Oryzias latipes: one gene and its partners. The protein of the gene in region 1 interacts with the protein of each later gene in a pairwise test. Links are inferred from orthologs where the notes say so. Each region holds a gene or a part of one and is shown on either strand. Other genes may lie near its edges.

Region 1 (3,512 bases):
AGTTTGTCCTCTTTGTTCCCAGGATCTGCACAGAGCTTGGGAAAACTGCCTTTTCCCCACTTCCCTAGGGGCCTCAGGCTCTTTAGCAGCCACATTCTGCTTACAGCATTCACACTTGCAGTAACTCAGATAATGCTTTATATCTAGTTTTTTTTATTAAATCTTGAAATACTGATTTCTCTTTAATATAGAGCAGTCCTATCTGTGGTAAAGTTTCTTAACAGGTACCTTCTTTACTTAGCTTTGCTGTTGGAAAATTCTTAAATGACCTTTTGGCAAGTTTCCATAAATCAGCATCTTTGTTCTCTGTACAATGTAGTCGGTTTAAACTTTCTTTGTAGTCTAGGTTTTGTGCCAAACCTAGATTTACCTTTAACCTGCTAGCCACTGAACACCAACTTTAGCCTCATCTGACTTTTAAGGTTTGGAGGGACAAAAACTACAAAATAAAATGATACCATTATAAAACTTTTATTTGCAACTTTATTAGCAGCATATTTGTAACATAAGGGAGTTGGTTGCTGCATATTGTGCAGAGGAATAAGCTTGGGGTATGGAAACAAGTCTTGCAAAAAATCCATAATTTAATTAAGTCTTATGTTAAATGCAGATGATTTTTTTCTTTGAATTTGAAAGCACTTCTTCAAGTTCCTCACTTGCTCTCTTCTGCCCAGAGAAACTCTCTTAAGACATTTGGATTTGTTAACTTTGCTAGCTGTGGGCTCTTAGTTAGCGATCAGAGCAGTCGCTTCAAGAAGGTAGCAAATATATCTGAGATCTGTGACCAACGTCTTGGCATGTGTCAATAGTAAGTCAAACGACAAACGTGGGGGACAGAATCTGGTGGTTTTCCAAAATAAAACTCCTTTCAGAATCAGAAAATAAAACAGAAATAATGTATGTTAACATTATTTTTGTTTTATTGTGTGCAGGTTGTCACAAAGTTCCTCAAAAGTGTTTGGGACCACTGCTTTAGAACATCATAGCACACATTTAGAGATCTTTAATTTCAGCTCAGCTGTGACCTTGAATGTCTTTGGGAGGTCTATCACATTCAAGATTTTCTCTTAAATATCCAAACAAACTAGTCTGTCAGTGGTCTTTTCCTGGTGTGATACACAATATGTTACCAAACAGCTAAGAGGTTGTTGTAAGACCAGCAAACTGATTGCAGGCTTGAGAACACTTGTTATGCTAAGGAAACACCTGCATGTTACCCATCTTTTATTTAAAAACTGTTTTAAAAAAATCCTTTTTGACCAAGACTGTTAATTTGTTGAATCAGTTGAACAAGAAATCAAATCAAAGTGATTTTTTGTTAATTTTTCCAAATATTTTTAGCTGTCGGTTTCAGGTAATTTCATTTTAGGTTAATGGTTTCTTAAAGAAACTGAGGTGGACAAATAATTGTGTTTTATGTAAAGTGTTTGGCATGTTTTAACTGTAGCTACATGTCAGCGGTGTTCACACAAATCCACTTTCTTTTTGAGTCAAACAATGGGTTATGCAGGGCTAAACCCTGTAACTGTCAGAATGTGTACCTGTGGTGGGAGGGGCCAGTTTGGAGGCATTTGGCTCAGTGGGAGTGGTCTTGCTGGTGCTGGGGCTCAGCAGCTTGACATAATTGGCAGGAAACCAGCCTATCTGTCTCTTTTTCCCTCGAGCCTGCACCCAGAGAAGATTTGTCATTGTGGTTGTTTATTAAATGCACGTCAACAACCAAAGCTGCAATGTGGACAGTTTGTTTTAATCATTACAAACCTAATCGTTGTCTTTTGAAAAAAAAAAAAAAACCTTTACGAATTCTTCAGAGCAGCTGGACTTTTGGTGGTATTGGAGATTTTTCATGTATCATTCCAGTATCTGTTATGGTCCTATCTGCTGTGTGTCTGTGTGTGTGTGTGTGTGTGGTCTGCAGATGTTGCTATTGTTGAAAAGCTGATGCTTTGAAGTGATGAGCACACTTCAGCACATAAGAATATAGACATTCACGTCAGAATCATCAGCTGAAGTACCATAGACTGAGTGGATGGGGCTTTGTTTATTTGTGTCAGTTGTAAATTACACCCCACTTTCTTTGGCTGAGATTTCAAACAGAATAGTAGCTTAATGACAAAATATGTTTCAGACTTGAGGGAAGGTTTCTCCGTTTAGACATACACTCACCGGCACACCTGTCCAACTTCTCATTAAGGCCATTTCTAATCAGCCAATCACACAGCAGCAGCAGAACTCATTACATTTAGGCATTTAGTCACGGTCAAGACAGTCTGCTGCAGTTCAAACTGAGCCTCAGACTGGGGAAAAAAGGTGACTGAAGTGACTGAATGTGGCCAGTGAGCGGCAGTTCAGTGGGCGGAAAGGCCTTGTTGATGCCAGAGGTCAGAGGGGAATGGCCAGACCGGTTCCAGCTGATAGAAAGACAACAGGAACTTAAAGAAGAACTGGTTACTGAGGTCTCCAGAAGAGCATCTCTGAACACACAACACCTCCAACCTTGAAGCAGATGGACTAAAGCAGCAAAAGACCAAACTGGATGCCACTCCTGTCAGCTAAGAACAGGAAACTGAGGCTACAATTCACACAGACTCACCAAAACTGGACCACAGAAGATTGGAAAAACTGTTTCTGGTCTGATGAGTCTCCATTTCTGTTGCAACGTTTGGATTGTAGGGTCAGAAATTGGCGTCAACAACATAAAAGCATGGAGCCATCCTGCCTTGTATAAGCATATAGGGCTGGTGGTGGTGGTAGTATCATGGTGTGGGAGATATTTTCTTGGGTCTCTTTGAGGCTCTTAGTACCAATTGAGGATGGTTCCAACACCACAGCCTCCAGTATTGTTGCTGACCATGTCCATCCCTTTCTGACCACAGTCTCCCATCTTCTGATGGCTACATCCAGACGGATAAAGCGCTAGTCTGGAATCATCTCAGACTGGTTTCTTGAACATGACAATGATTGAATCTCTGCCACCAAGGATTAAGGCAGTTCTGAAGGCAAAAGGGGGTCCAACCCGGTCCTAGCAAGGTGGACCTGATAAAGTGGCCAGTGAGTGACTCCTTTTTAAACCATCTGTACTCACTGTTCAGAATGTGACTTCATTGTCCTTAAAGTAGCATTTGCTGTTCAGGGAGAAGAAATGTTTTCTGAATAAACCTGTTAAGACCAGCAGCTCTGAAGAACAAGTTGACGGCATGTCATGGTGGAGAAGGTCCTTCCTGAACAGAGTTTTTCATATCATTATAACCTCTAAGCTTTTTTCTGCTATTGTGTTCATCCTAATACGTATGGAGTGTACCCTTGTAACAGAAACGTCTCTACTGAAGTTCAGTCTAGTTACCTGCAGCTCACCCTCCCACCAACCCCCTGGATTCTTCTTCCTAATGAGGATCAGCTGTCCCGGAGCCAGTGTCAGCTGCTCTGGCCCTGTTGCAGTGTAGGGGGCGATCACCTGAGCAATCTCTGAAAGAACAAGCAGGAACATCGTGACTGATGAGTTCCAAGATCTA
Region 2 (3,942 bases), on another chromosome or scaffold:
AAGTGGCATGAGAGCAGTGGAGATGCAAGCTGGAGATGTGGAAGCACTTTCATATATTCTGGGACTGTTCAGCTGTTCAAAAAATACTGGGTTGAAACCCACACACATTTGCAGAAAGTGTTTAAGATTGCTTTTACGTGTACATTTGTGACTGCTGTTTAGTATGAACAAGACATGATTATGTGAATGAATGAAAACGTATTCAATATTGTTATGTTCTGCACTCCAAATACACATGAGAGTACCGTATAAAAATGTGCATATGTTTTATTAAACACTACATATCTTTGTAACTGGACTTGGGATGGATTTAACTTTTTGGATAAAAACGTACTTAACATGCTTGTACTTAACATAACTTGCTGGCAGCAAGTGCAAAAAGCTGCAAAACAAAAAGATGCTACAAACAGCAAACCCCAATAACAGAGGAGTGGGTCACTATACTCACAATATTGACATTATGGAAAAGCTTTCATTCTTAATTCAAATTCAGACAGGTTTTATAAGAAATGGTCAAATTGGACAGACTATGTTAAACCTGTCTGGACAGATTTTTTCTAAAAGTCGACTTTTAGAATATTTTAATAATTTATTATGATAACACAGTGTTTAAGAAAATATATACACAGTTTTATACTCTCATGTGTATTTGGCGTGCAAAGCATAACAATATTGAATAACTTTTCATTCAATGGCATGATCCTTGCCTTACACATGCTAAACAAGAGTCACAAAAATACACCAGGACAGAATCCCAGAAAATATCTCCCAATGCACAACTCTTTTCCACACCAACATATTGACTAAAGAGTCCAGCAGGGTGTAGTTTTTCACAATAAAACAGCCATTGTTTGGTTTTTAGATTGTTTACAGAAGTCCTAAAATGCATCACCAATAGATTTATCAGTAAGATTGGAAGAAAGCCCCATTCATACAACATTTTATTTTACTTTAAAAAAAAAACTTTATTGTACAAAACGTAAGTACAATCCAAAACACAATTTTGCAAAGTAATCTTCAGATATGCCTGGGGAGCATACATATTACATGCATTTTACATAAAAATATTCAGGTTTCTACAACCTTCATACAAACATACAGCTTTTTGATTAAGGCTTTTAGAGATGTTACTGAGATACATTTCAATTTGTTTGATTAACAGAGGGGATAATATAGAAGAGGAAGAAAATTTGCGTTTATGAATATAAAATCTGCCAAATGTAATAATAAGATTACTTATGAGTTTTTTATTTGAGTCCAAGTTTTTATTATGAAAGCCAAAAATTATATATTCAAATTTCAGAGTGAAGTTGGGGTGAATATGATTTCTGATCAATTGTAAACACTTTTTCCAAAAAAATTCTAATTTCAGTACAATTCCAAAAAAGGTGGCCAATTGTTTCTGGTTGTGTTTTGCAAAAGGTACAATTGATTTAATGCATCTTAGCATGAATTGATTGGTGGGGTAAATTTCGTGAATTATTTTAAAAGAAACTTCATTCATTTTATTATTTATCATAAATGTTTGGGTCACACTCCAACCTTTCCTCCAAATACCATCGGGAACAAAACATGTCCAGTAGGTTTTAGTACATGGCACAGAAATGACGTCCCAGAGAAATTACAAGTACTTTTATGTTTTTTGTTCTAGTGTGAGGGATTAAAGCAGATTTTTCCTGTGGTGGTGTCAGTTGCATCCATAGAGGGCATTTCTTCATTCCTAACAGTTGTTTTAAACATTTGGCATATTTCTTTGGAAACGGTTTCAAACACAATGGCATATTCTTTAGAAGTCACAACCAGATTGTATTTAGAGTTGAATTCAGTATACCTTAATAAATGCCCGTTCATGTTAAAAAGTTGGCCCACCAGTAGAATTCTTTTCTCAAACCAATGTGGGGAAAAACAAAGATTTTTTCTTGTATAATATTAATATTTGTTGTTCCAAATAAATAAGTTATGAGGAGAGAACTTGTGTTTAATAGTGCCACCCATGCAAGAACCATTCATACAACATTGGCAGTTTGTCTTTTGCAATAATAAATAAATATGATAGTTAGTGATCTACGGCTGAGCGGGAAATATCGGAGTCTTTACAATAAATCCACAAAGAAACAAAAGTAACACGTTTACCAATAATGAATGATGGTGGCTGCACGCCCTAACTTCTTCTACAACGGAGCGATATGCTGCTAATTTTTGCACATTAAGCAAATTTGTTTTCCGGTTTCAACTCGCCGCTCCGGTTTGAAAGCTAAACCAATAATCTTTTACAAGTTGCGACAACAAAATCGGCATTTTTCACCGTTTGTCCTCTCCGAAACAAAACGTTAGCTAGAGTTGAGCCACAGCCGTTACACTTCGCTAGCATTAGCTAAAAAGGCTAACCATCATCGTCCTTTACACTTCAGTGACGAAGTGTCAAAATGCAAATTTACACAAATGTCAGGGTACTTATTTCGACAGTTTCTTTGCAACTGTATGTGACGCGTTTATTTTCAGTCGAACCTCCACATTGAAATGAATAGCGAGAAGCGGCCCAGTTTCATCACATCACCGACCGACGAACGGAGCTACTCTGCCGCTGGACTGTCACTGTGCCACCTCCCTCAAAAGTATAATCAAAACAAACGTGTAGATATCTACTTGTATTTCATTTTTAACAGTTTCATGTTCAATACCTGGCTGCGGTTACGTGAGCCGGAAAATAGTCCAAGAGGTCGAAGACGTAGGTTGGTCCTGTGCTTGGTGGGGAAAAAGATGGAGAATCGGGATATAGATGGTGAGTTCACGATCGTAGGAAACTGGAAAACTTCCTACTGGAGTGCAGAAAAGTGGGCGTGTGAACATGAAATCAATTTTTTTTTCATGATTTGGAGCACAAACTCTGACCCAACCGTTTATTTTAAAACAAAAATGAAGCTTAATTAATGACAATTTTTTAAGCCATGTTCATGTTGGTGTTTTTATTTGCTAGTTGTTTTGTTGTTTTAAACTATCAGAGCATCTTACTTTTAACAAGTAAACGTGCAAGACTGCAGGTGTTTATATTATTGATAGTTTAAAAGAAAAAAATGCAAATTACAATCTTTTTTACATAGTTAAAGATTAAATTGCAAGCACATAAAAGCCTTTCTAACCTAGGTCAGTGTTGTAAATCCTCATAAAATCAAAGAACACGTTCTCTAAAAATAAAATGCATTAGTTTCTTAACTAAATGACGCTTCACAAAAGATAAAAATCTATTTTTTTTTCATTTGATATTCACTGAGAAACAGCATACAAACAGCAAAGAAATCAATTAAGCTTTATCAAAAGCCCATTAGGGTCAACTACCACAATCCATGAAACCAATACTTTATTTTTCACCTGTAACTTATATACAGTGTGGCTTCAAAATTATAAAAATGACATAAAAAGTTGGGTTTGTTTTAAAAAAAAAAAGGATGTTGCTTTAATTAAAATAACAAATGTATAACAACAATGAAACTTCAAATATTTTGTAGCAAAAACATTTATTTGTAGAATTATATGCAATAAAATGCAAAAACTACCCCAACAAATTAAAATCAGCTGATTTTTTTTTCCTGACAGTAATCCTGAGAACATGATCTCTTTTAGCCAAACTGGCATCGTTTTTAAAATCCTATTCTGAACCAAGCACCATTCATCCCTGTATCAAGTATAGCAAAAGAACAGATGCATAAATTGTGCATAGGCTGATCAAATGAGAATGACGAGATCCTTAAGACCGGCTCTAAAAAGAAGGAGAAGACTATAGAGATTGCTTGATTTGTGAAAAAGATGTTTCAGGAGGATTTCAATTTCTATTTTTACAGTAGACTGTAACAATAGTTTTGTACTGTTAAGGGGCAGATCAATAATAATTTAACTGAGTTTAAATGAGAAAAAAGCTAAATGTCTTTAACTGAAAGTTGGTAT
Region 3 (4,266 bases), on another chromosome or scaffold:
ATAATAAAACGTCGTTAAATTTAGCACAACCATGATATGCAGTAGGGATGCAACGTTTCACGTTCCCCATGATACAGTCGAATGTTTTTACACACAGTATGATCTTAGAATGCAATGCACGGCCAAAAGATAGAAATAGAATGAGAACAAATATTTCATCAAAGCATGCGACTTCGTACCATAAAAATGTCTATAAGTCTTTTGCCAGTTTTGTGTTGTGGGTGTGGGTCATTTGGCCTTCCAATCCTAATTACTGACATGTTTTAAAACTAAATACACATTTTTTAATTTAAATTTTAAACTAATTACACTTACATTACAATGAAGACACCATAACACTGAGACTTCACTTGCTCTCGTGTTCACATAGTTGTCAACTGTATCATTATTCTGTGGCCAATATTCTGTGGTCTCCAGCTCAGAGGCCTTGTGGTGGAGGGGTTGTGGTGGAGGTTGTGAGTTCAAATCCACCGCTGAGTCAGATCAAAGACTTTGAAAATGGGACCCAATAACTTCCTGCTCAACACCCAGCATGAAGCGGTTGAATTGGAGGGTTAAACTACCAAATTGTCCTTGATAACATTGTTCCGGAGAACGAATTTCCCCCACCTTGGTGCATGGCAGCTAATGGGACTTTAAAGAAACAGCTGATTTACCACAACCCTTACACTCCTCTTACACCTCCCCACCACAAACACACAACAAAACGATGAAGACGTGGGAGCTCAAAGCCTTCTTCTTCAATGATGTTCTGGTGTATGGCAGCATCATTGGGAAGGTTATCCGTTTAGATGAGCAGCTTCCCCATCTGCATCAGTCAGAAAGAGAAAATGAGCTGTCACAGTTAACCTGAATCTTAACTAAACCTAAGAGCAACAGTTCAATTCCATGTAAACAATACTACTAGCTCTCAGCCAGAAAGGCCAAGTGGGCCCCATATGGTTTAAAAGTGAGCAGAAAATGTGGGCAATTGTCTGCAGTTTCTGTGGTGGCCTCACATTGGCTTAAGTGGGCATTCGGTGAACTGGTCCACTTTTTCTGCCCACTTTTAAACATATTTTGCCCACTTGGCCTTTCTGGCTGGAATCGGTGCTTGTTATTGTCATTGCTTGAAAAATATGTCATTCTATTTTTTAAAAATGTTTTAAACATCACATCATCATGCATTTTTTCATATTGTTAATATTAGTACTCGGTAGTTAGCAATGGCAGTATATTGTGTTTCCATTCTCTTAAAATGGCAAAAAACAATCAAACAAACACACATTTTAATAAATAAAATACTTTATAAATATTTTATTTTGTCAGGCAAATACTAAAGGTCGGCATTTGATTACAAAAAAGAAGATGTTTGGCCATAAAATTAGCAAATAACAAAAACTTTCAAACAAACTAAAAATACTCAACAAAAAGTATCTTATTTTGAAATTTTATGACGTCAAAATCGTGTTTCCGCTTTTGCCCGCGCCAGTAAACATGGCGGACGGCTAACGTTGCATTCATACACATTTAGCCCTAAAGTGTTGGGTTTTCTTTCGGTTGTGGCTTTATTTTTTTGCTTTAGGTGTCACGGAGAGCGTGACAAACCCATCGTGGTCCACCAGGTTTTCCTGAAGTAAAGGTAGAGGCGGCGTTGACTAATTTGTTGCAGTTGATGCTAAAACGGGCGTAGCCACAAGTGCAAGCTAACGCGCTAAGCTAGCGAATCTCTGCTGGAGTCCAAGCTTTTTGCTTCGATATGCTTTGCCAGCAGCCTGAATTCCTTCTTTGTTTTACCAAATTATGTAAAAATAAGAGCCAAGAGTTCCGTGTTTACCTGCTAGCTCAACTATTATAAAGAGAAACAGTTAAACTTCCTTCAAATATTAATTTAGCTTTGTGGGATCATAAAACTTACCATCAGTTTGGTATAAAACAGTAACATCAAGGCACTCTAACCACATTTTAGAATATGATTGTAGTTTTTGTTTGTTTACCTCATTACATCGTTTATTCTGCACTGGTTAGGTTAAACGAGACTGACCGCAACAATGGGGCGACGTTCAACCTCCTCCACCAAGAGTGGGAAGTTCATGAATCCCACCGACCAGGCCAGTAAGTACCGACCCGTGCGAGCAGTGATGATCAGATCCAGTCAACATGACTCATTTGTGTTTGTGTTACCTACCTTACAGGGAAAGAGGCGAGGAAAAGGGAGTTAAAAAAGGTACTTGGACTGTTAAGCTGAATATTTGTTGGCTTTTTTTATTCATTCATTTTTTTTTTCTAAACAATTTTATTCTGGATTGCATTTCTTTGCTTTTTCTTTGCACAGAACAAGAAGCAGAGGATGATGGTAAGAGCAGCAGTGTTGAAAATGAAGGATCCCAGACAGATCATCAGAGATATGGAGAAGCTAGATGAGATGGGTAAGCAGCTCCTATTTGCTTTTTTCACTTTATTTTACATCTTTAACCTCCTAGAACCCAAGTTAATCTTTGAGCTGACTCTCTACACACATAGTCATGTAGCCTCAGTTAAGCAGAATTAACTACTGCGGTATTATAACCCATAAATTGATGTCCATGCATGTGGATAAGCTTTTGAGTCACTCTCCATCCTAATTTAAAATAACATTTTGATTCTTTTTCTTGTCTGCAGAGTTTAACCCAGTTCAACAGCCTCTGCTGAATGAGAAAGTACTGAGGGACAAGAGGAAGAAGCTGCGTGAGACATTTGAGCGCATCATCCATTTGTACGAGAGGGAGAACCCGGAAACTTACAAGGAGCTGCGCAAACTGGAACTGGACTACGAGACCAAGCGAGGCCAGCTGGCTCTTTATTTTGATTCAGTGAAGGTAGCTTTAGTTCTTCCTGATCCTTTTTCCTTCCTTTGTTCACTTAAAGATCCTTTATTCTTTTCTTAAAGTATTAATTACCTTTTGAAAAATTTTAAATTAGGTTTTACCTCCAAGTCACACACACAGTTTGGTTTATTTCAAGTCTTTTTGGCTTTTTTTTTTTTTTTTTTTTTTTTTTTTTCTAGTTGCAGGTGTTAATATTTGCATTTTTTCCTCCAGAATGCCGAGTCAGTGGAGGTCGACAGTATTCCTTTACCTGACATGCCCCACGCTCCTTCAAATATTCACATCCAAGACATCCCATTGCCAGGGGCGCAGCCTCCCTCCATTCTGAAGAAGACCCCTTTTGGGTTGGTTTTGTTCAAGTTTCTCTTCCTGCATTCTGTGGGATGTAATATGTTATTTATTGTTCTCATTTTGTTTTTCATAGCAAGCCACTTCTTTCTTCATCCACTGGACCGGTGATGGCATCAGTACCTGGTGTCCCGCGTTTACCTCCAGGAAAGAAGCCACCAGGGCCCCCACCTGGACCCCCACCTCCTCAGGTCCTGGCTCTCTATGGAATTCCTTCTCGGAGAGCTTACAGCACAAAAGCCGGTAACATTCAGACACATCTATGTCAGTGTGTGTGTGTTTTTTTTAAATCTCCTGCTCCTCTTACCTTTTCTTTTTCTCTGCAAAGAATCCTCCATTCCTGGTTTAGATAGAGACGTGGAAATGGAAAGGGATCAGGACAGTGGCAGTGAGAGCGACAGAGATGACCGGGACGATGACAGCGACTCTGAGGAAGACAGCGAGGAAGAGCGAGAAGGAGGGGACAACGAGCGGCAAGATGACGACAAAAAGAGGGAGGAGAACAAAGACAGAGGTAAAAAAAAAGGAAACAAAGATGCTGATCAGCATCCCTGAGTGCATTTTTTTTAATATAATGTCTTGTGTTTTTTTCTCCGGCTCGTATTCCCGGCAGGTCGGAGTGTGCGTTTTGCAGACATGCCAGCGGAAGGAGATGGGAAGAAAAAGAAGAAAAGAGTTGTGAAAAAGAGCAAAGCCATCACTCCTCTGCAGGCCATGATGTTGAGGATGGCAGGTGAGGACGAGGGCCACATCCACATCTCTACAGCATTACAGCTGCCTTTTATTCTCAATATATTTAAATATTTATATCTATTCGCTGCTTTTCTCTTCTCAGGTCAGTCGATTCCTGAGGAGGATGAAGACGAAGAAGAAGAGGAAGAATATACGGATGGATCTGACAGCTCTGACACAGAGGAGAGGGGATCAAAGGGAGAAAAGCAGCCTCATTCTTTGGCTGGTCAGAATCTGCCTCCTACTGCCGGAAATGTGGCACAGCAAGGTCCTCCACCCATGCAAGGTCCTCCAATGACTGGACCTCCACCTCTCGGCCCACCTCCAGCTCCTCCAATGA

What was found.
Region 2: the proteins of itsn1 (region 1) and AP-1 complex subunit beta-1 interact in binary tests that used the Homo sapiens proteins (3 or more experiments, as listed by UniProt). The link is inferred for Oryzias latipes from reciprocal best matches to the Homo sapiens genes ITSN1 and AP2B1.
Region 3: the proteins of itsn1 (region 1) and wbp11 interact in a two-hybrid assay, tested with the Homo sapiens proteins (2 studies listed by BioGRID and IntAct). The link is inferred for Oryzias latipes from reciprocal best matches to the Homo sapiens genes ITSN1 and WBP11.

The regions. Positions count from the first base shown.
Region 1 is NC_019873.2:615,968-619,479, reverse strand, and holds part of itsn1 (intersectin-1), read right to left. Parts: intron 3,466-3,512; coding exon 3,344-3,465; intron 1,666-3,343; coding exon 1,542-1,665; intron 1-1,541. UniProt on the Homo sapiens protein: Adapter protein that provides a link between the endocytic membrane traffic and the actin assembly machinery. Acts as a guanine nucleotide exchange factor (GEF) for CDC42, and thereby stimulates actin nucleation mediated by WASL and the ARP2/3 complex.
Region 2 is NC_019872.2:25,024,207-25,028,148, reverse strand, and holds the start of AP-1 complex subunit beta-1, read right to left. Parts: upstream 2,813-3,942; 5' UTR 2,682-2,812; intron 1-2,681. UniProt on the Homo sapiens protein: Component of the adaptor protein complex 2 (AP-2). Adaptor protein complexes function in protein transport via transport vesicles in different membrane traffic pathways.
Region 3 is NC_019866.2:20,478,064-20,482,329, forward strand, and holds the start of wbp11 (WW domain-binding protein 11), read left to right. Parts: upstream 1-1,454; 5' UTR 1,455-1,621; intron 1,622-2,007; 5' UTR 2,008-2,030; coding exon 2,031-2,094; intron 2,095-2,174; coding exon 2,175-2,206; intron 2,207-2,314; coding exon 2,315-2,408; intron 2,409-2,640; coding exon 2,641-2,837; intron 2,838-3,059; coding exon 3,060-3,190; intron 3,191-3,270; coding exon 3,271-3,437; intron 3,438-3,522; coding exon 3,523-3,708; intron 3,709-3,807; coding exon 3,808-3,927; intron 3,928-4,029; coding exon 4,030-4,266. UniProt on the Homo sapiens protein: Activates pre-mRNA splicing. May inhibit PP1 phosphatase activity.